Callithrix jacchus: one gene and its partners. The protein of the gene in region 1 purifies or fractionates together with the protein of each later gene. This does not show direct contact. Links are inferred from orthologs where the notes say so. Each region holds a gene or a part of one and is shown in the gene's direction. Other genes may lie near its edges.

Region 1 (7,872 bases):
TGGTTCTGTGCTCACATGGAAATTTTCTTTTTCCCTTACTAAGTGAAATCGAAATTTAAGCAAGTCCATGTGGATGCACTAGAACTTGAAGGAAAGTGTTTATTGTATTGCAACTTCTTTTCTTTTTCATCACTGGTTCTACTTTGAGACTACAGGTTCATTGCAGGGGAATGGGAGTTGTTTTTGTTTTTCACTATTTTCTCACCCTTTTTCGTCTATCACCAAATCCTTTCACCCTCACTCACTTTTTACACTCGGTAGACACTAACAGAATTCACAGCGTAAAAGATTGAAATGGGATTTAGAAATGGCCCGTGGAAGGCTATTAAAAATTTATATATTTAAATGAAATGTCTTATAGGTCATTTAAAAACCATATTCGTTAAAAAACAAAACAAAAAATTAAAAACCACATCTGGGGCATGTTCTGAGAAAAGACATGACTTTACTTTCTGATTAAATTCTGATATGTCCAATTCTTCCAAAGTTCCCTTGGGAAAATGCAGTAATGGCTACTCTAAAGAATTCCATGTTATGCACATAGCTTTGGAAGCATACTCTAATGTAGGGTAGCTAGAATATTGAGGTTCTGGCTACTGTTTGGAAAAAAGAGGATTGTGTTTCTTTCATTTTTTAACTCATTATTTTATATATTTTAAGTAATGGAACCATAAAAAATTATCTTGTAAGTCAAAACCATGCAAGATACAGTCTGTTCTTGTTTATCTGTACCCACCGAGGGTTTAATTAACATAGACAGTTAAACTCTAAATGAGCAAGGGTAGAACCACTAACCTGCAGTCTGATGCTGAGCAGCATCTTGCCTGGAGATGGAATCAGGGCTCACTCCAACTGCCCTTCTAGTGACAGATTCCATTTCTAATTTGAGAGTTGAGATCTTATTTCTGTTGCCTTATCTCTGGCCTAAGTAATGTAGCTGGAAGGGAAACTCATTAGGAATAGCATACCACCTTCATTGTTGAAATAGTAGAAGGTTTTGAGCTGGATGTGATGGCATGTACCTGTAGTCCGTACTACTCAGGAGGCTGAGTCAGGAGGATCGCTTCAGCTTGGGAGTTGGAGACCATCCTGGGCAACAAAGACCCCAGTCTTTAAAAAAAACAAACAAAAAAGCTGACCAGGCATGTTGGCTCACACCTGTAATGCCAGCACTTTGGGAGGCTGAGGTGGAAAGATTGGTTGAGGCCAGGATTTTGAGAGGAGCTTGGGCAACAAAACAAGACCCTGTCTCTACAAAAATTTTTTAAAATATTAGCCAGTCATGTGGCATGCCTGTAGTCCCATCTACTCAGGAGGCTGAGGTGGGAGGATCCCTTGAGCTCAGGAGTTTACGGCTGCAGTGAGCTATGATTTTACCACTGCATTCTAGCCTGGGTGACAGAGTGACACCCGAACTCAAAAAAAAAAAAAAAAAAAAAAGAAAAGAAAACTAATTATGTTTTGAAGGAGGAATTGGCAGTCAAGAATAGTGGTCAGGGACATGGATTATGAAGTTAGACTGTTGGGGTCACATGGTGGTTTACCTCTTACTGGCTGAGACCTCTGATAAGTTCTTTAACTTCTCTGATTTGATAGATATCTGTAAATGTTTACTTTCACAGATGAGAACACTTATCTAAAAGGGCTGATATGGGGATTCTGTGAAACCGTATGTCTAAGGTACTTTCTACAGGGTCATAGTAAATACTGAAAAATTATTAATTATTCTTCATACTATTATTATTAGATGTCACATAGATATTCGATGAATGAAAGGAATTAGCCAACAAGAATTTATTGAATGCTTGTCTTTGTTAAGGAGAAAGGACAAAAATAAGCAGTCAGTATCATCATGTAAGATGTGCTAGTAGGTAGAGAGATTATATGAAACATTGATAAGAGTAGACTACAGTTTAGCAAAGTTACTGCCATTAAATTGTATAATATTATCTTTGGGTTTTTAATATTTTTGTTGTTATGCTTATGCTGTTTTCCCAAACAGCTTTAGCTATTACATTTACTTTCCTTTGCAGGAGTGTTTTGCTGCTCTAAAGTATATTTGACTCACCATGCAAGCAAATATTTCTCACTGTGTGGTAGCCTTATTTTTCAATGACCATGAAAAAGATAATGATACATTTAAATTCGAAATATAATTTCTTTCTAAGGTAAAATAAGATCTCAAGATATTTAGTAATGTTCTCTTTTACAATAGTGCTATAATGTGTAAACTATTGAAACAAGTGTTTACTGAATTAATATGATTTATAAGTATATGCCAATTATATGATTATTTTCATTTGATAGGGTTGAGTTTGAAGAAACTGAAGAACCTGATTTTACAGCGTTATGTCAGAAATTAAAGATACCAGATCATGTCAGAGAGAGAGCTTGGTTAACTTGGGAGAAAGTTTCATCTGTGGATGGAGTATTGGTAAGGATTTTCTTAAAACATTCTGAATTTTTTTTCTCATTTAAAAAACAACTTCAAATCACTATACGAAAATTGAAAGATAGAAAAATATAAAGACAATAAAAGCTAATTATAATTCCATTACTCAGAGGATATTTACCTCTTGTAACATTAAAAATGTTTGGAAAAAATCTCGCTATATATGCCTCCCACCAAACTATTTTAATGCAGGTCTTAGTTATATTTTATTCACTATAATACAAGGACTTTTTAAAAAAAACCACCATACCTTATAAAATAATTTGTATACCTTCTAATATGCAGTCACTGTTCAGATTTCCTAATTGTCTTATAATTAATTTTGTTAGAATTCAGGATCTTGAAAATATTTTGATATATTCTTTTCATTTTTTCTTTGCATATGTATATATGTGTATGTTTAATAACAGCAGCAAAAAATTACCAGTATTTTATATGTACTGGGGGAATAGTATAAGAACTTTACATAGCTGGGTGTGGGGGTGCATGCCTGTAATCCCAGCTACTTGGGAGGCTGAGGTGGGAGGATTACTTGAACCTGGGAGGCGGAGGTTATAGTGAGCCAAGATCACACCACTGCACTGCAGCCTGGGCAACAAAGCAAGACCCTGTTGCCAAAAAATAAAAAAATAAGTCTGGACACAGTGGCTCAAACCTATAATCCCAGTACTTTGGGAGGTCGAGGTGGGTGATCACTTGAGGAGTTCAAGACCAGCCTGGCCAACATGGTGAAACCCCATCTCTACTAAAAATACAAAAAATAGCCAGGTATCGTGGTGGATGCCTGTAATCCCGGCTACTTGGGAGGTTGAGGCAGGAGAGTTGCTTGAACCTGCGAAGCAAAGGTTGCAGTGAGGCAAGATAATGCCACTGCACTCCAGACTGGGCAACAAAGCAAGACTCTATCTCAAAAAGGAAAAAAAAAAGAACTTTAGAAATATACAGATAACTCATTTTAAGACCATTGATATATGAAATATAAAATCTCTATTTTATGTGAAATCTTCATTTTAAAGATGAAGACACCAAAGTAGAGTGCGGTTGAGTAACTTGACCCTAGAAAAATAAGAACCTTGTCCCTAGAAAATAAGATCTCAAATATAAATTTGAGATTATATATAGTTATGTATAATTACGTGTAGTTACATAGTTTTGTATTTTCTTGTTTTTTCCTAATATGACCATTTTCTTATGTTATTAAATTTTTTTTCTAATATAGTTTCTAGTGAGAGTATTATATTTTAGCTATTGGATGTATTTTAATTTGTTAACTCTCACCATTATTGGACATTTGGGCTTTTTCCAACTTTTTGATGCTGTAAAATAATGTAATAAACTATGTATTCATAAGAGTAATGCTTGGTACAAAGTGAGTCCTTGATAATTTGTTAAATAAATTAATGAATGAATATCTGATTATTTTATTAGAATAAATTCTTTTAAGTTGAATTACTGCATCAAAAGCTATGAACTCTTGATGATTATTGCTAGATTACATTTCAGACAGATACTTTTAATGAATTTACCGTCTCAGTATAGTAGTGTAAGAGTATCTGTTTTTACTGATCAGATTAACAGAGCAAAATGTGTTTATTTATGTCCTATAAGAAAACTGTTTAAAACCATTAAAAAAAAATCTCTGGCAGTAAAAAAGAGAAAACAACTGTTGTAATTTCCAAAGAATTGAACATAGTCTTATACTTCTTATCTAAAAAGAGAGGATTACTGAGTATCTTGAATGTATGACTTGGGTGTTATAATCCCCAGGCATCTAATTTATATTTTAACTGACTTGGGAACTTCATGTACAAAGCTGTTTTTGTGCATATACAGTTAAACGGATCAGAGCGCCTTCACTTTTCTCTTCCTAAAATAATAGATTTTTAGTGTTCAGAAATTTTGGAAGGGATGGCTGATTATAGAGAGTATTAGTGTATATACATACTATAGTTTTCAATTTATAAGTGCATTGTGTTCCAAATCTGTTTGCAAGTGTGATATTGTAGTTAGGTTTCCAGCCTAGTTCACATAACTTATTTTTTTGTACTGAACTATAACAATAAAAGTTTTAACAGTAAAATCTTTTTTGAGCTTCAGATTTGAAAAAAAAAATATATATATATGCAAATGTTACTGTTTTATTGCCCTTTTTAAATCCCGGCTTTGTCTCTACCTTCCCTGGGAACTAGCCCAGTTTAAATCTTATTTTCTAATGGAGCTTGTGATGGGGACTAGGATGTGTGAAATTATTTATGGCTAGGTACTGGAGGAAGGTAAGAAAGGAATTTCATGTTACTTTTGGGATTTGAGGTATGCTTTTGAAGGGTATGGCAGAAGATGATGTCCTTGAAATATGATTTTAAGTGCAGTTAAGTTTTTGAGCGTTGGCCTGAGAATTTAACCTTCAAAAAGGAAACCCTTTTGACAGTAGAAAGTAGGTGATGTTTATTGGGATAGAGGATGGATGGGTTAAGAGTAAGGATTAAGAGTCAAGCAGATATACCACTTACTAGCTCCATGATCCTGAACATGTTACTTACAGTTTTCAAGCCTTAGTTTTCTTATCTGTAAAAGGAACTGACAATAATTTCTGGATCTTGGGGAGTTACTGTGCAGATTAAATAAATTAATGCATATAAAGCTCTTGTTAGAGTCAACGAATGTGTATGTTAGGTATGGCAAACAGAATAATTTTACTTAAGAATTGCCCTGGAACATTTTATCATTAATGTACTTTTTTTTAAGGAGAACTTAGGGTATTAGTTAAAATGGTTAAAAATTTAAATGCATTGTAGCTATTTTGATGTAGTATGGTTGTTAAAATTCTTATTTTTAAGTACTTTAGGGTCAGAAAACTTGTTTATGCATACATAAAACATGCTTACAGCTGGTTAGTGAGATTATCCTCTTCTGTAGAATCCCAGAAGTCTAACAGCCTTTCTTCATTTTGTCTGTTTTTTTCCCCTTTAGTCTAAGCTGACAGCATTTCTGCTGAATTGGGAGATTAGATCTATGAGTCCAAAACCTATAATTTCTTTGTCAAATTGTCTATCCTTGATGTTCTTTTGAAAACACACTTTCTCATTTTTTTGTGATATGGATAGGTTGATATTTTCCAAGTCTTCAAGTGTTGGTACCTGTTTGCTTAACAATTCTTTTTAAAATATCTATCCTTGGCCAAGCGCAGTGGCTCACGCCTGTAATCGCAGCACTTTGGGAGGCTGAGGTGGGCTGATCACCTGAGGTCAGGAATTTGAGACCAGCCTGGCCAATGTGGTGAAACCCCATCTCTACTAAAAACACAAAAATTAGCTGGGCTAGGTGGTGGGTGCCTGTAATCCCAGCTACGCAGGAGGCTGAGGCAAGAGAATCATTTGAACCTGGGAGGTGGAGGTTGCAGCGAACCAAGATCGCCTCATTGGACTTCAGCCTGGGCAACAAGAGCAAAACTCTGTCACACACACACACACCAAAAAAACCCACCTCTGTCCTCACATTTTACTGTAAGCAGAAGAAATCAGACTTTACTTTCAACACATAGTTCAGAAGTCTCAGTTAAATATCCAACTTCATCACAAACTCTACCTTCCACAAAATACTAGAACACAATTCAGCCAATTTGTTTTCCTTTTTTAAACCCAGATCACCTTTTCTCCAGTGTCCAATAATATGTTCCTCATTTCTACCAGATACCTCACCGGAAGGATCTTTAATGTTCATATTTCTACCAAGAGCCTCTCTGCAAGGCAGTCTAGGCTTTTTCCAACATGTACATTGAAACTTTTCCAGCCTCTACCATTATGCATTTCCAAAGCCACTTCTAAGTTTTTTTTACAGCAGCACCCTACTTCCTAGTACCCAAATCTGTCTTTGTCTACTAGGACTGCCATAACAAAATACCACAGACTAGGTGACTTAGATTGTCCATATCTTTAATGATTTTCTTTCTTTGCGTTTTACTGGTTATTGAGAAAGAAATATGAAGTCTCCAACTGTAATTAGAATGGTCTTTTAAAATTCTGTTTTCTATTAATAAATTTTTTTTTTTTTTTTTGGGGACGAAATCTCAACGTCGGCCAGGCTGGAGTGCAATGGTGCCATCTCAGCTCACTGCAACCTCTGCCTCCTGGGTTCAAGTGATTCTCCTGCCTTAGCCTCCTGAGTAGCTGGGATTATATATAGGTGTGCACCATCACGCCAGGCTAATTTTTGTATTTTTAGTAGAGACATGGGGTTTCACCATGTCAGTCAGGCTGATGTTGAACTCCTGACCTCATGATCCACCTGCCTTGGTCTCCCAAATTGCTGGGAGCTACCACATCCAGCCTTTATTGATGTATTTTAAAGCTTTATTCTTGGGTGCATACAAGTTTAGAATTTTTATGCCTTTTAGGTAAATTGGTACCTTTATCATTATGTAATGTGCTTTTTTAATCCATATTTTTATCTTTTGTTCTGCAATGTTCACATATCCATTCCACTTTTCTTATGATCAATCTTTACATTGTATATCTTTTACCTTCATTTTGATTTTAACATATTTCTTTTTTATATTTAAATGGATTTGTTGTTGTTTTGTAATCAGCATTCATTAAAAATTTAACTGAATTCTTTTTACTTTTGTTAGGGTTCCCTGTGTCTCTTCCTTTCATGCTGTGCCACAGACGAACCATTATTCATATATATTCTCTCATTGGAGGTTCCTTTTTATAGGTGAAACTAAATAATTTGAAATATAAAGAAAGGATATGTTAAGTTCAAGAAAGGGTATGTTTTTATTCCTTATCCGGCTTGTTCTTGTACGGGTGGAAGCAATACTCTTTGCAGCTTTCTGCAATCTAGGAAGAAGTGGAATTTTACATTATCATTTGCTTTCCTTACAGGTTTACCTTAGTAATTTGTTTACTGAGTTCTATCCACAGGACTAATTGAAACTATACCATACTCCTTCCATTTTAAACCTATCCATTCAGTCTCAAATTATCTTTTTGCATTACCTCTCACATCTGTCCCTTCCTTTCTCTTACCAGCAGTGCTTTGTTTTTAGTTTGCTTTGGCTTTAATTTCCTCTTTATTTTTTTAAATTTCAGAAGGTGGAAGCTTATGTCATTGACTGAAGCATTTTTATTGCATGTTTTAGTGCCTCTTTCTGACTAGTCCCTTGTTTTCTCCATCCAATCCATCCTGGTGCCTGATTTTTTGAAAAGACTGGTTTACTGTTTGCCCCTTTTGCTTTGAAATTTATTTTTTATTGTCACAATCCACTCTTCAGTAGCCTCTATTGTAATACCCACCTGTGTTCCCACCACCCATTATGAAGAAATAAAGTCCAAACTGTCCTAGTATTTGTAGTTCTCCATAGACTGTACTTTAACCTTCCTTCCAGTCTTATTTTTTTATTTCCATTGATGGCTCCCAAT
Region 2 (7,872 bases), on another chromosome or scaffold:
AGTACCTTTATCCACAGTTCTAACAGCAGATTAACTCACTTTCTGTGTAAACTAAGGCAAGACTCAAACACCTCCATTTCATCTGTAGAGCAGGGATGGCAGCGTGATACTTGTACGCCCACACGTATGATCACATATATGGTAATATATTGTGAATTTTAGAGCATCTAAATTGGCAGCAATTGTAAGCACAGTATTGAACTATTAAAGTATTTTGGAAGGAATAATTCTGTTATAGGAGGGCTTTGAAAAAATACTAATTCAGATAGAAGATGCGCAGGTACCTTTCTTGCGCTTTTCGGAACTTTGTGACGGTTTGGGAACCCGTTTTGGCCTCTGGTTTACGGAAACATATTGGGTTCTGGTCTCAGTTCTCGCATACATCTGTTTCCTTTACTTCCTTTTTAGTTGTTGGTATAAGACCCTCAGTAATTACCTGGGTTTTTCATGCTTTTTTGGATTTTTTTTTTTAATCACTCCATCTTCCCTGTCTTTATCTTTTTATCCTCTTTCCCTTTTCTTCCCCCTTCCACCTGGGAGCCAGGGGGCGGGGAGGCAGGTGGTTGCCTTCTTTTGCCCTCTGAATTTGAACCTTCTGAAGACATAGGCCTCCCCTGGAGGAAAGAACGCTGAAAATAGCAGTGGTCTTTCACTCAATTTCTATGCTGTGGAAAGTGCAGGACTATATTTACGAGAAAATATATATATGTTTACATGTCGTAAATTTAACACTTGGCTAACAAGCAATGCGACCTCCTGTGTCGAGAGGAGACATTTACCCAAAGGACCATTTCTCCTTCCCCTCCCTCCCATGAGTAGCCATGAACAGTCTGTGTTTGGGCTTCTAGGGGCTGCAGTCTGTCTGAGGATGGGGGCATGCTGGCCCAGTGTCAAGGCCTGTCAAAAGAAGTGACCGAGCTCAGTCAGGAAGAGAAGAAATTAGATGAACTGATCCAAAGCTGCACCCTGGACCTCAAACTGTTAACCGAGGATTCAGAGAATCAAAGATATCCTTTGTGCCACCGGTTCACTGGGGGTTAGTGCTTCCTAGACTATTTCCAGAGTGGACAATCTGACTTTTATGCACGAGGGAGATTGTTACTTCGATTCAGTCACGCAAATGAGAACACGTGTGCCTGCATGTGTGTGTATGCACGTGTGTGCAAACCAAGTTCGCTTTGCCTAAAAAGTCACTATGTATGGTAAGGTCGTCACCAACTCGATCCTGTTATGATCTATTTTGATACCAGGTGGGAACTGTTTTTTAAAGCGTTTTTTTCACGTGTGTTTGCGACATATGGGTAGACTCATAGCGTAAGGCCACACTATTAAAAGATGCATAAGGTGTCGTCGGTATCAATATTAATGACAACACTAAGCAGATTCGTCTTTGGCTTCCCAGATTTTTGGTGGGTGTTAGCTGTCACTGTTGGGGTTCTCACATTCTATTTTCTTTTCGCCAGATACTGTAGCAATTGAAATTGGTTGAATCTATCTGATTGGGCTATAAAGGGTTCGAAAGAGTAGAGAACAATTATACTGTAACTCTTAAAGTGTACTCTGCCGATTCCCAGTACAAAAAATTGATTTCAGAAGCACCCCCCAAGACCTGAGAAACTCCTTTCAATTCATCTGTTCCACTCCGAACATGAGTCCTTGGAAATAAAATACACAAGGTCAGTTCTTGTTCTCAGCTTCCGGACAATCTGTTGATGATCTCAGGAAAACTTGCTCTTTATCACCTGACTACAGACGAAACAAGAGAGAGATCACCTCGTTATGTCAAACGAGGGAGAGATCGCCTCATTATGTCAAACAAGAAGACTCGCCAGCATTCTCCGTTATTAGAAGGCAAAAGACAATACTAGAGGTTATCGCATCCCTAGATTTAGTTCCAAAGTTCCCATGATCCCACATTTGCCATTATTTGACAAAAGTTGCGTTCTGCCCAGATTCTTCTAGTGGTTCATCTTTTACAGGCTCCCCCTTGGAGGATATGCAGGTATTTATTTTCTTCCAATGTTGGCAGTTTTTCAAAGCTGCAGTTGTTGATTTCCTGTTGACCAAAGAATTAACCTTGTCAGCCAATAATTAGTGAGATGGAAGAGAGGTGTAGTGATTCGGACCCCCAGTGGTGGGCAAAGTGGGTTTATAGGGGAAGAAACCAACGGTTGGGCTGTTATATTCACTGTTTGGTTAGGAGCCCCATTGTGGAAGAGACGGGTGGTTACACGTGACTGGCAGCCTTCCGGGACATGTGGCCTATGGCATTGTCACCTATATTAGCTTTCTCTGGGGCCTTTGTTACAGAAAATGAAAGCTTCCTTGCAGGGAACTTAGAACCTAAGGAGTAAATTTGGGAGGGAGCCGCAAAGGAAGCACTTTTAAGTTTGTAAGATTAGAAAATATATTTGCACAATGTATTTCAATTCACCATTCAGTTCCCAAATCGGTACAGCTTGTTCACAAATGTGTTGAAATTTTCCTTCCTGCAGCATGTTGAGTAATTGTAGATGAGTTTTTCTATGACACTCGATCTTAGCCAAAAGGCCGAGAAGCGATGAGTTTTTATTTCACTAAGTTCTTGTCATACCGCTTTTTTGACAGTGGGCTGTAGTGTAAGTACCTGATTGTCAGTAAAATTTAGAACTGCCTGGCCCTCTATAAAGGCATCCGTTGGCTTCTTTGATGGTATATGTAGTGACCTAAAATCCAGAATCCTGCAAGAGCAGCCACTATCAGCTCAACACTGAACTAGCCATCAACTCAACAACAAAGATTTGAAGGAGATGGTCTGATAGATGCTCTACATGTGTATGCAGCTTTTGTGTGAATGTGCTTTTTTTCCTAGAGGAGTAGTTTCATAGCTGCCTTCAGTTTCTAATAAGAAGCTACTATAGCTGGGCATGGTGGCTCACCCCTGTGATCCCAGAACTTTGGGAGGCTGAGGCGGACGGATCACTCAAGGTCAGGAGTTCAAGACCAGCTTGGCCAACATGGTGAAACCCCGTCTCTACTAAAAATACAGAAAATTAGCCAGGCACGGTGGCAGGCGCCTGTAATCCCAGCTTCTTGGGAGGCTGAGGCACGTAATTCGCTTGAACCTGGGAGACAGAGGTGGCAGTGAGCTGAGACGGAGCCACTGCACTCCAGTCTGGGTGACAGAGTGGGACTCCATCTCAAACAAAAAAGAGCTACTATTGTAAGGGACGTAATTTCTTCTAGGCTCTCTAAGCCCCGCCCCCTTTAAAAAAATATTAAGCATATTAGATCACAGACTCTCAGCTATTATATACATTATACTAGCTGCTGAAATGCCTTCGTTGGTTTGTTACTTGTTGTGTTAGGAATTTTTCGTTCATATAAAAAATAATAACTGGCTAAAGACACTGTCCATTAATTGTTTACTCCATGTCCCTTATTTAAGAAAGCCATGCAGACTTTTCTTTTTTAGTGCCAAGTGTCAAGCTCACTTCAATACTTTTGGCATATCATAAGTACCATGTTCTTTCATGATAGCCTTTAGACTTGGCTGCCAGGACATTTTAAAGAATTGTTCAGTGCTTAGAGAAAAACTGCCAAGGCCAGGCACAGTGGCTCACACCTGTAATCCCAGCACTTGGGGAGGCTGGAGGCAGGGATCACTTGAGGCCAAGAGTTTAAGACCAGCCTGAGCAAAATGCTGAAACACCATCTCTTTTAAAATACAAAAAATTAGTCAGGTGTGGTGGTGCGTACCTCTCGTCCCAGCTGCTCAGGAGGCAAGCTGAGGCACAAGAATAGCTTGAATATGGGAGGTGGAAGTTGCAGTGAGCTGAGATTCCGCCACTGCACTCCAGCCTGGGTGACAGAGCAAGACTCTGTCTCAAAAAGAAAAAAGAAGTAACTACCAAGAGTACTGAGATAGTATTCTTTTCTCTTTTCCTAAATCAGTGTTTCTAAAGAGGAAAGAATACTATCCAAAGGACTATAAATCGTTCTACTATAAGGACACACGCACACGAATGTTCATTGCAGCACTGTTTACAATAGCAAAGACCTGGAACCAACCCAAATGCCCATTGATGATAGACTGGACTGGGAAAATGTGGCACATATACACCATGGAATATTATGCAGCAATCAGAAATGATGAGTTCGTGTCGTTTGTAGGGACATGGATGAATCTGGAGAACATCATTCTCAGCAAACTGACACAAGAACAGAAAATGAAATACCGCATATTGTCACTCAGGCGGGTGATGAAAAATGAGAACACATGGACACAGGGAGGGGAGTACTAAACACTGGGGTCTATTGGGGGGAAAAGGGGAGGGCCAGCTGGGGAGGGATAGCCTGGGGAGAAATGCCAAATATGGGTGAAGGGGAGAAAGGAAGCAAAACTCACTGCCATGTGTGTACCTATGCAACTGTCTTGGATGTTCTGCACATGTACCCCAAAACCTAAAATGCAATAAAAAAGAAAAAAAAAGAAAAAAGAAATTATATTTTAAAATAAAAAAAAAAAAAGAATACTATCTCAGTACTCCTGGTAGTTACTTCCTACATCAGTGTTTCGCAGAGCACCTGGAAACTGTTTTCTTCCCCGTGAACGCTGAAATATTGATGGAGTCAGCATAGTACCAAAGGATGATTTTTCTAACAGAAATAATGACGCTCTTTGTAAGCAATACAAAATCACAAGCAGCCCTGGAACACTTAAGAAAACAAGCTGTCTGCCTGAGCAGTATCTGAGTTCTTCCACTAACATATCTGTTACTTATTTATTTGTTTGGTGGCTGCTGACACTTGCTTACAGATAGAAGTAACTGGAGTTTCAAAAAAATTACGGCTAATAGAGATTAACTTTTTTTTCCCTGCAAATTGAAATCTGCCATCATTCAGTTTGAGTAACAGAACACTTGATTGGCGTTCATCGAATATCTGTGCTGCCAAGTACTGTGGCTTCAAGATAAAAGTTCTCACCTAAGTGGTTTTTGATTTTCATATGATCATTTATTTTAACTATTCTGTTTGTGTGTTTAATATTTTAAATAGCCACAGTCTTTTTAGAAATGGGTGGGATAGGCCGGGCACAGTGGCTCACACCCATATTCTTAACACTTTGGGAGGCCGAGTTGGGCAGATCAGCTGAGGTTGAGAGTTCGAGACCAGCCTGACCAATACAGAAAAACCCCTGTCTCTACTGAAAATACAGAATTAGCTGGGCATGGTGGTGCGTGCCTGTAATCCCAGCTACTTGGGAGGCTGAGGCAGAAGAATCACTTGAACCTGTGAGGCGGAGGTTGCAGTGAGCCGAGATCCTGCCATTGCACTCCAGCCTGGGCAACAAGAGCAAAATTCCATCTCAAAAAAAAAAAAAAAAAGAAAGAAATGGGTGGGATAAAGCTGTTCATTTCTTTAGTTGCTTAGAGTGTCAACCAGAAAAGAAGTTTCATGGGAGGCCCTAAGCACTTCCAGGTCCAGAAGGGAAGACATATGTATACTTTTAAGTCATAAAATACTTTGAAATATTCTATGCATCTATTTTGTCATTTTCATCTTACTTATATCTGAGGTCATTAGATGGAAGATTCCTTGACACTCTTTACGTTAGCTTATGTTACATATCAAGATATTCGAAAAATTAGTGGCCTTAAAGACCAAACTGTTATAGTTGTGAAAGCCCCTCCAGAAACAAGACTTGAAGTGCCTGACTCAATAGAGGTAAGGAGACAGCATCTTTGTTCATCTGCGGAGATCTTTTGGAATGCCTGAAATTGAAGAGTCATTGACTCATAGTTAAAGTCTGTCCCCCTACCCCAAGAACTTGATGGTTCTTTCCAATTCATTTCATTTAATCATACGCTTAAAAACATTTTAACAGTTTGATATCCATTGAGTATGCAGACAATCTAACTGTGACCTAGCGGGATGTTCAGTGCAAAGTGGAATATGATGCCCTGTCCCTCTTGTACTCTCTCTTTCTCATAATTCATCATCAGGTGGTTTTGATCAACTTGAACCACTTTGAAAAGTTTATATGGATTATCCTGTATATGGTTTGCACCACGAACAGATATATAAATGTTTTAAAGTCTCTCTCTAACTTATAACATTTTAAGAGATCAAACGGGGCTTTGGGTTAGTTGATAGACCAGAATATTGTAAGAAAGTAGGGGGCATAGTTTTACGATTTTCAGATATACTTGGATAATAGAGCCTAGACTACAAGTATGACATAAAGAGATGTAGTAAAAAGAAAATGCATAGGAGATAAAAAGAGAATGAAAGTTACATGCTTCCATCCAGGGTAGACTTCTTGCCTTAAAAGATAATAATAGCTCTTTGACCTAGATGAAAAAGATTTTTAAATGTTAGTGTGCTGCATTCTCTTCATAGATGCAGTTCCTAGCACTTAAGAATACATCACTTGGTTATTACAGTTCAACATGAAGAAGTCCTACCATAAAGGAACAATAACATGGAAATACTGGATTTGGAACATTTAAAAGACCTTTTAATAATTTACAGAAAAAGAATATATCCAAAGAACACAATTCACCTCACCCATTGTGCCATTTTCAGACTGACTCCCTGCTCCCCACAAAAAAATTTTCTTTCTCTAGAGCAAGACTCAGCAAACTTTTTAATTAAAGTGCCAGGTAGATTGTAAATATCTTTTGCTTTGTGAGCCTTACGGTCTGCACACTATTCAGCTGTGCACCTCTGCCATTGTAATATGAAAACAGCCAGAGGCAATAATAAACAATGGAAATGGGTGTGACTCTCTTCCAATAAAACTTTATTTACAAACCCAGTGGGTGAACTGGATTTGGCCCTTAGGCTATGGTTTGCTGACCCCTGCGCTAGAAGATGACAGTCTTTGATAGAGTTGGACTAGCAGAGAAGAAGCAAGTGAACAATGAACGTTGTTCTTACTTTCCATTTTTAGATGAAAATTACTATGGCTTTTATTTCTAAAAGAACTTCTGATTCAAACTTCTCCCACTTCTGTTCTAGAGCCTACAAATACATTTGGCAAGTACCCAAGGGCCCATTGAGGTTTACTTATGTCCAGAAGAGACTGAAACACACAGTCCAATGAAAACAAGCAACCAAGACCACAATGGGAATATCCCTAAACCCACTTCCAAAGGTAAGAAGAATTCCACTTTTGTCTTTTGGAAACTATGTTAAAAATGAAGGTGACTGGAACTGTCTGTATTGGAACCACAAGCCTAGTCAAGAAACAAAACCTTGTATTGTTATTAGGTAACATATTTTAAAAGACATTCTGGCTGGTTTACAGAATAAAATAATGATTTGGGGAAAACGGCTCCTTCACCCACTCAGGGAGTGGCTTCGGGCATTTGCTGTTGGCAGAGAACGTTTCCTTGCAGCATTTTTGAAAACCAGCTGAAGTGAGGAGCAAAGCTGTGAACTGTCTTGGTGGATCATCAGAGACACTTGAGCACACTCCTTTGAGTGACACTGCACAGCTCATCAGAGAGGGAAACGAAAAAGGCTTGAAAAGACCAGGAGCGGTGGCTCACGTCTGTAATCCCAGCACTTTGGGAGGCCGAGGCGGTTGGATCCCGAGGTCAGGAATTCAAAACCAGCCTGGCCAAGATGGTGAAACCCCATGCTACTAAAAATACAAAAATTAGCTGGGCGTAGCAGTGGGCGCCTGTAATCCCAGCTACTTGGGAGGCTGAGAAAGGGAATTGCTTGAAACCAGGTGGTGGAGGTTGCAGTGACCCGAGATGGCGCCACTGCACTCCAGCCTGGGCGACAGAGCGAGACACCATATTTAAAAAAAAAAAAAAGTTTGAAGAGAAAAGCCTTTGTTGAAGAATTTTTGTCTTATTTTTCCCCCCAATGAGATGGGGA
Region 3 (7,872 bases), on another chromosome or scaffold:
GATAAAAATGGGAAAGGCTTGAGACACTTTTCAATGAAAGTGTGTGAGAAAGTTCAACGAAAAGGTACAACATCATACAATGAAGTCGCTGATGAGCTGGTGTCAGAGTTCACCAATTCAAATAACCATTTGGCAGCTGATTCGGTAGGTAGACCATGAACCTGCCGTTGATTTTGATGGATGATGCTACTTTCTTTGTGTTAGCCGTGTAATAGATTTGAGGAATCAGATAAGCGAGGTGAATGACTATACTTTAGAGTTTCATCCTGTATTTGGGGGGATTTTTTTGTTGTTGTTGAGTTTTATTTTGTAGGGAATTCTTTTTTTAGGCGGAGTCTCACTCTGTTGCCCAGGCTGGAGTGCAGTGGCACAATCTCAGCTCACTGCAACTTCACCTCCTGGATTTAAACGATTTTGCTGCCTCAGCCTCCTGAGTAGCTTGAATTACAAGCACCTGCCACCACGCCCAGCTAATTTTTGTATTTTTAGTAGAGACAGGATTTCACCATGTTGGCCAAGGCTGGTCATGAACTCCTGACCTCAAGTGATCCACCCGCCTCAGCCTCCCAGAGTGCTGGAATTACAGGCATGAGCTACTGCGCCTGGCCACCAGTAATTTTTTTATGTTTCTGAATCTTATTGTTTCTTCAGTGTCTAAGTCAACAAAAAAATTTTATTTTTAATTGGAAAAGGAATACAGAAATATGTTTATTAAAAATTCAGTTGCAGCCGGCCGTGGTGGCTCACACCTGTAATCCAAGCACTTTGGAGGCAAAGGCGGGCAGATCACGTGAGGTTGGGAGTTCAAGATTAGCGTGACCAACATGGTGAAACCTCATCTTTAAAAAAGAAAAAAAAGATAAAAATTCAGTTGTCTGGCAGAGTCTCAAATAAATGCAGTGCAGTGGTGTAATTTTGGCTCACTGAACACTGCCTCCTAGGTTTGAGTGATTCTTGTGCCTCAGCCTCCTGAGTAACAGGGAACAAAAATGGCAAGGCTCTGCCTCTACAGAGAGAAAATTTATTTATTTAATTTTTTTTTTATGAGATAGGGTTCTCACTATGTTGCCACAGGCTGATTTTGAACTCCTGAACTCAAATGATCCTCCAGCCTCAGCCTCCCAAAGTGCTGGCATCACAGGCATGAGTCACCATGCCCGACCTCTACAAAAAAAAAAATTTTTTTTTAATTAGCCAGATGTGGTGGCACAAACCTGTAGTCTCAGCTACTCCAGAGGCTGAGGAGGATTGTTTGAGCCCAGGGATTCAATCATGCATTACAGCCTGGGTGACAAAGCAAGACTTAATCTCTTTAAAAAAGTGTGTGTGTGTGTGTGTGTGTCTATGTGTCTATGACTTATACTCTTGAGCACTGATTTAGCCCTTGATTCTGATATATCGTTCTTTAAATATTCTGTAATTTTGGATTGAATTTGTTCTTTGATCTAAGAATTGCCTTAGAAAGAGTTCTTATAGTTACAAATGTTTTTCTTTTCTTTTTTTGCTTATTTGTTGCCTTAAAGTTTTACTTTTCATACTTAATTTGACCAGATAATATGATTTGAACTATTTCCCTTTTCTGTGGATTATATTTTTTCCTTGGGAGCCATGATATAGTGATTTTCTTTCCTTTTAATGTTCTCTAACCACTTGAAAAAGAAAAATATAGGGCCGGGCACGGTGGCTCAAGCCTGTAATCCCAGCACTTTGGGAGGCTGAGGCGGGTGAATCATGAGGTCAAGAGATTGAGACCATCCTGGTCAACATGGTGAAACCCCATCTCTACTAAAAATACAAAAAAATTAGCTGGGCATGGTGGCACGTGCCTTTAATCCCAGCTACTCAGGAGGCTGAGGCAGGAGAATTGCCTGAACCCAGGAGGCGGAGGTTGCGGTGAGCCGAGATCGCACCATTGCACTCCAGCCTGGGTAGCAAAAGTGAAACTCTGTCTCAAAAAAAAAAAAAGAAAAGTATATAGCATTCTGTTTCTGAGTGAAAGCCTTGGTTCTAACAATGAGCTACAAGCTGCTTTGTGATCTTGCCCACCATTACCTCACTAATCTTGTCCTCTCCTGTGCACTTTCTCATTTACTATCCTCCAGCCACATGTCACTACGCTCCAGCTACATGTTTTGTTCCTGATCGGGCCATTGCACTTGCTGTTTCCTTTGCCTAGAGCACTCTGTGCTATGTATCCATATGGCTTCTCCCTCCATGCCCTGTGATCTCCACTCACCTGTCACCACAATGAAGCATTTCTTCTTAGTACTTTTCAACATATAAAATACATTTTTATTAATACCCGAACACCACCACCTTCCCAGGATACAAACAAAGGTTGAGTTTTTCCCCTCTTTGTTCACTGCTTTGTGATTTTTCTGATGATTTAGGGTGCTTGTAGTCTCTAGTTCTTCAGTTGGTTACCTTTATAACTTAAGTTCCTTGAGTTATCACCTGTAGACAGTGTCTATTGGTTATGAAGAAAAATGTATGTTTATTTTTATCTTCCATTTTTCTCTTCTACCATAAGATTCAGATTAGATATTTTAGTATATTTGTTAAAAGAATAAGAATACTATTACAGGCCAGGCACAGTGGTTCACGCGTATAATCCCAGCACTTTGGGAGGCCGAGGCAGGTGGATCAATCACAAGGTCAAAAGTTTGACACCAGCCTGGCCAACATGGTGGTACGCACCTATAATTTCAGCTACTCGGGAGGCTGAGGCAGGAGAATCATTTGAACCCAGGAGGCAGAGTTTGCAGTGAGCCTAGATGGTGCCATGCACTCCAGCCTGGTGACAGAGCAAGACTCTGTCTCGGAAAAACAATAATAATACTATTAGAATTGTTTGTATTACTTTAAATCAACAGATCGTGCTGAACCTTTTATAATTATTTAATCTGCTTTGAACAATATCCGTATCCCTTCCAGTATCAAAAAGAGGAAATTGGCATACCTACTGCATTTCCTCCTCCTGGTACTTCTTATAGTATCATTTTTTTCTATAATGTCAATATTTCCTTTTTTTTTTTTTTTTTTTTAAGATGGAGTCTTACTCTGTCACCCAGGCTGGAGTGCAGTGGCGCAATCTCGGCTCATTGCAATTTCACCTCCTGGATTCAAGCAATTCTCCTGCCTCAGCCTCCCTAGTAGCTGGGATAATAGGCGCATGCCACCATGCCAAGCTAGGTTTTGTATTTTTTCTTCGCTATGTTGGTGAGGCTTGGTCTTGAACTCATGACCTCAGATGATCTGCCCGCCTCAGCCTCTCCAAGTGCTGGGATTACAAGCATAAGCCACTGCTCCCAGCCCAGTGTCAAAATGTCTAGTATATTCAGTTCTATAACTTAAATCTCCCACTTATTTAGATCTAGTTTTATATTTAGGTGGATTCAGTGTTCTCCTCCATCCTTTGTTATCATTACATTTCATGAGGACTTTGTTCCACAATGTAAACCAACAGTTTCCTTCATTGAGTAAGTCTTGCTATCAAGAAAAGAAGAAAAAAAGAAAGAAAAGGTCAGCTGAACTGAATGGTGTCCCTTGTGACATAGAGGATTATATTTTGGTGCAAGTTCTGAGTCTCATTGTAAATTGGAAACAGTTTGCAGATCAGCAGTGTTCAAGGAACACATTTTGAGAAGCACAGTTTTGTCCAGAATTTGAATAAGTGTCCTTGATTTTTTTAAAGTCTAAAATCCTCTCAGACAATGCAAGGCCTTAGAATACTTTACCTCCAATACCTTTTTCAGTTAATATATATGCTATTTGTAGTCATGTATATTAAGTTCTGTATTTATTCTAGACTCCATAAGACATGATTATTGTTTTATACCGTGAGAACTGAGATTTACCCACATACTTAACTTTTGAGTTGGTCTTCATTCTATCCTTCATCTCTAAGCTCCCATCTTAGATGATATTTCTTTACCTGAAGTAATCCCTTAAGTATATTTCAGTGTAGATCTGTGGGTAACATGATCTTTATTTTTAAGATTATTTTGTTTTATATTGTTTGAAAGTATTTTCAAACAATATTATTTCATCTTTAATTTTGAAGGATATTTTCACAGAATATAAAATTCTTTTGGATGTCTTCGTCAATTAGCTAAATAAAAAAATAGAATTATTCCAGCACTTTGAAGATGTAGTATTAATTTGATATGTTAATATCATGTGACTTAACCCTTAAAATTTATCACTCAATAAAATACTTTTTAGCAGGCTTACGATCAGAAGAACATTAGGCGAAGAGTTTATGATGCTTTAAATGTACTAATGGCAATGAACATAATTTCAAAGGAAAAAAAAGAAATTAAGTGGATTGGCCTACCTACCAATTCTGCTCAGGAATGTCAGAATCTGGAGGTAAGTGAGAAAATCTGTTTATGAATAGCTGTTTGCATTATTTTACATCAGAGGCATTTTAATTTAAAAATATGCTCATGTAATATAAAATTTTCAACTGTTCATGTATACTATGTCATTTTTTAACAGACTATAGAATTTTAGAATTGGTATATTCTACAGTTTAATTGGTAAATGATGAAACAGAGAGATATAAAAGTTAAATAACAATTTGATTTTTCTGTTTCTTAGAGAAGATTTTTATTTTATTCGAATTTAATCCTGAGTGCTCTACTAGTACACTTTTTTTAATGAGATGCTGGCTGTATGTATAAAAAAAAAATGGATCAAGCTGGCTGTTTATTTCCTTTATTGGTTACACAATATTCTGACTACAGCTATGAAAGTCAGACTTTTGCATTTGACTTTAGAACTAGTAGCAACAGAATAAATGGCGTTTCATTTGTGTCTTTGCCAGAATTGATAGAATTTTTGAATGATGTGTGCAGAAGCATTTTAAATTCTGTTAACTTTAAACATTATAGGAAGTTCTCCCTAAATGAACATGTTCCCTGACATACTGTTTCTAAATTGACTTTACATAATTTTGCTATCATGGCCATAAATGGAGTAAACTGAGGTTAAATATGGCACGGTGGCTTAAGCCTGTAATCCCAGCGCTTTGGGAGGCCAAGGCGGGAGGATCACCTGAGGTCAGGAGTTCAAAACCAGCCTGGCCAACATGATGAAACCCCTCCTCTACTAAAAATACAAAAATTAGCTGGGCATAGTGGTGTACACCTGTAATCCCAGCTATTCAGAAGGCTGAGGCAGGAAAATAACTTGAACCTGGGAGGCGGAGGTTATAGTGAACCAAGATCGTGCCATTGCACTCCAGCCTGGGTGACAACAGCAAGACTCCATCTCAAAAAAAAAAAATAATTATTATTATATAGCTTTGGGAGATCATTAAGATTGATTTCCTGTTTTTCTCAGTCTTTTTTCCCCCCAGCAAATAAGTTATTTAGTATTATACTTCTGGATGGAGAAAGAAACCAGAGATTCATCAGAAGCTAAAGAATATTTTTTATATGCTAGAGTGGAAATAACCTTTTCTTGTTTTTCTTCCTTGTGATAGAGTGGAATTTGAGCATCATTTTCATGATCAGTAATACTGAGCTAATACTACAGACTCATTAAGCAAAAAAACCTATTCACATCTACCTTGTGCTTAACCACAGGTTATACAAGGCAAATCTCTGACACCAAGAAACTGTCATTCCAACTGGGGAGAAGAGAAATGTAAAAGAGTTACTAAAAATGTGATTATTCCTGTAAAAGAAATGTACAGATTCTCTGCAAAGAGGGATGAGGGAGGGCTTTACCAAGGAAATAATACATGAGCTCAGGCATGAGATGGGAGTAGTTTGCCAAGTGGATAAGGGTGGGGAGGGCCTTCCAGGCAAAGGTGCTACATGGACTGAGATAGGCATGAAAAAGCATACCTGGACCTGGGTGTGGCCAGGGAACAGGCATGGAGAAAGGGGGACAGATAGCTAAGTGTTAAGCAGTGGGGGCCTGATCCTGTAAACAATGGGAAGCAGTTGATAAATTACAAAGAGAAGGGTTGATAGGATGTTTTTTAAAGGATCACTCTGCCAGTGGGTTGAAAGTAAAATTAATAGGTAGATAGGGAAGGAAATGGAATGAAGGAGGGGAATTTAGATAGTCTGAGTTACAGCAGTGGCCATGAGATTGGAGAGGTGTTTTAGAGGTGGAATCAGTGCAGCTTGACCTGGTTGGATGAGGGACAGGTAGGGGGGCCTGGCTTGTCAGAGCTTCTGATGCAAGGGATGCTCCTACAACATCTTTTCAAATGCAGAACACCACACAAATTTTCCAGTGAATCTTAATTTAGGAGTAAAGCATGGTAGTGGATAGAGGAACCATGAATGGAAACTCCTAGTACACACTAGACTGGATGGGAGCAAGCAAAGAGATTATCTGCTGGAGCAGAGAGAAAAATGTTTCATTTCATGATTGAAAGACAAAATGGTAACAAATTTAAAGATTCTATTTAATTGGCTTTTATTTGTGATTCTAGAATCTTGTAACACCTCATTATTAAGTAGAAAGAGTGTTCCTCCGATAAGCTGAGCAGAAGAGGTTAACGTTCTTCAGTGGTTTGTTGTTGGGTTTTTTTTTTTTTGTTTTTTTTTTTTTTTGGAGACGGAGTTTCTCTCTTGTTACCCAGGCTGGAGTGCAATGGCACGATCTCGACTCACCGCAAGCTCCGCCTCCTGGGTTCAGGTAATTCTCCTGCCTCAGCCTCCTGAGTAGCTGGGATTACAGGCCACCATGTCCAGCTAATTTTTTCTTTTTGTATTTTTAATAGAGACGGGGTTTCACCATGTTGACCAGGATGGTCTCGATCTCTTGACCTCATGATCTACCCACCTCAGCCTCCCAAAGTGCTGGGATTACAGGCGTGAGCCACCATGCCTGGCCATAGTGTTTTAAGATAGAGAAGCAGCAAAGGTGGATAGACACAGAAACAGAACAAAAAGCAGATTGGACATTTCAATGTCACTTTCCTTGTAAGGTTAAAACAGAGAAGACTCTCTTACCATGCCAGCTAAAACTGGCGTGTTGGGGTAGTTCGCTATTCTCTCTTTCTCTCCTGATTTCCTAGGTCAGATAAACAACTTAGTTTTGGCATGGAACTTCAGCATGAGTGACTCTATTTTAGTTTGTTCTGTTGGGCCTAGTGCAGGAGCTCAGTCCCAACCAATGGGCTCCCATAAATTTTCCTAACAGATGTCATTGGCTTTGCCCAAGGAGACATTGAGGAACTCAGCTGCAAGGAAGTTCAGACCCTAATGTCTGTTTTCTCAAAGTAGTTATCAGATTGAGAGAGAGGAAAAAAAAGCAGTTGTTTGAAGCTGGAAAATTTGTCTATCAAGCATATTTCTTTTCTTTTCTCCTCCCCCCTCCCCTCTTTTTTTGAGACAGAGTCTTGCTCTGTCGCCCAGGCTGGAGTGCAGTGGCGCAATCTCGACTCACTGCAACCTCCATCTGCTGGGTTCAAGCGTTTCTTGCGTCTCAGACTCCCAAGTAGCTGGGACTGCAGACACACGCCACCATACCTGACTTAATTTTGTATTTTTTGTAGAGGTGGGGTTTCACTGGATTGGCCAGGCTGGTCCCAAACTACTGATCTTAAGTGCATTCGCCCTCCTCAGCCTCCTGAAGTGCTGGGATTATAGGTGTGAGCCACAGCGCCTGGCCTAGCATGTTTCTTATTACAAGTAGGAATTGTATATTGAATGTGTGAGATAGCTATTATCAGCTGTACTCATTGGAAAGTCAGCTAAACTGAAACCAAAATAAGATCTTGCCTTGTTCTTTGAGGAGTAATATAGCAAAGTAATTAATATAGAGTCCCTGTTGTAACCAGAGGGCTTAGGTTCAAATCTTGGCTCTGGCTATTCACTAGCTGTGTGACCTTGGAAATGGAGCCCT

Evidence for each region.
Region 2: the proteins of RB1 (region 1) and E2F3 purify together in Homo sapiens (affinity purification with western blotting; 9 studies listed by BioGRID and IntAct, with this or other methods). This does not show direct contact. The link is inferred for Callithrix jacchus from reciprocal best matches to the Homo sapiens genes RB1 and E2F3.
Region 3: the proteins of RB1 (region 1) and TFDP2 purify together in Homo sapiens (affinity purification with mass spectrometry; 4 studies listed by BioGRID and IntAct, counting the BioPlex papers as one, with this or other methods). This does not show direct contact. The link is inferred for Callithrix jacchus from reciprocal best matches to the Homo sapiens genes RB1 and TFDP2.

What each region holds. Positions count from the first base shown.
Region 1 is NC_133502.1:67,632,651-67,640,522, reverse strand, and holds part of RB1 (retinoblastoma-associated protein), read left to right. Parts: intron 1-2,307; coding exon 2,308-2,434; intron 2,435-7,872. UniProt on the Homo sapiens protein: Tumor suppressor that is a key regulator of the G1/S transition of the cell cycle. The hypophosphorylated form binds transcription regulators of the E2F family, preventing transcription of E2F-responsive genes.
Region 2 is NC_133505.1:10,300,938-10,308,809, reverse strand, and holds part of E2F3 (transcription factor E2F3), read left to right. Parts: intron 1-848; coding exon 849-1,007; intron 1,008-5,591; coding exon 5,592-5,706; intron 5,707-7,002; coding exon 7,003-7,138; intron 7,139-7,872.
Region 3 is NC_133518.1:42,563,496-42,571,367, forward strand, and holds part of TFDP2 (transcription factor Dp-2), read left to right. Parts: coding exon 1-144; intron 145-4,224; coding exon 4,225-4,371; intron 4,372-7,872. UniProt on the Homo sapiens protein: Can stimulate E2F-dependent transcription.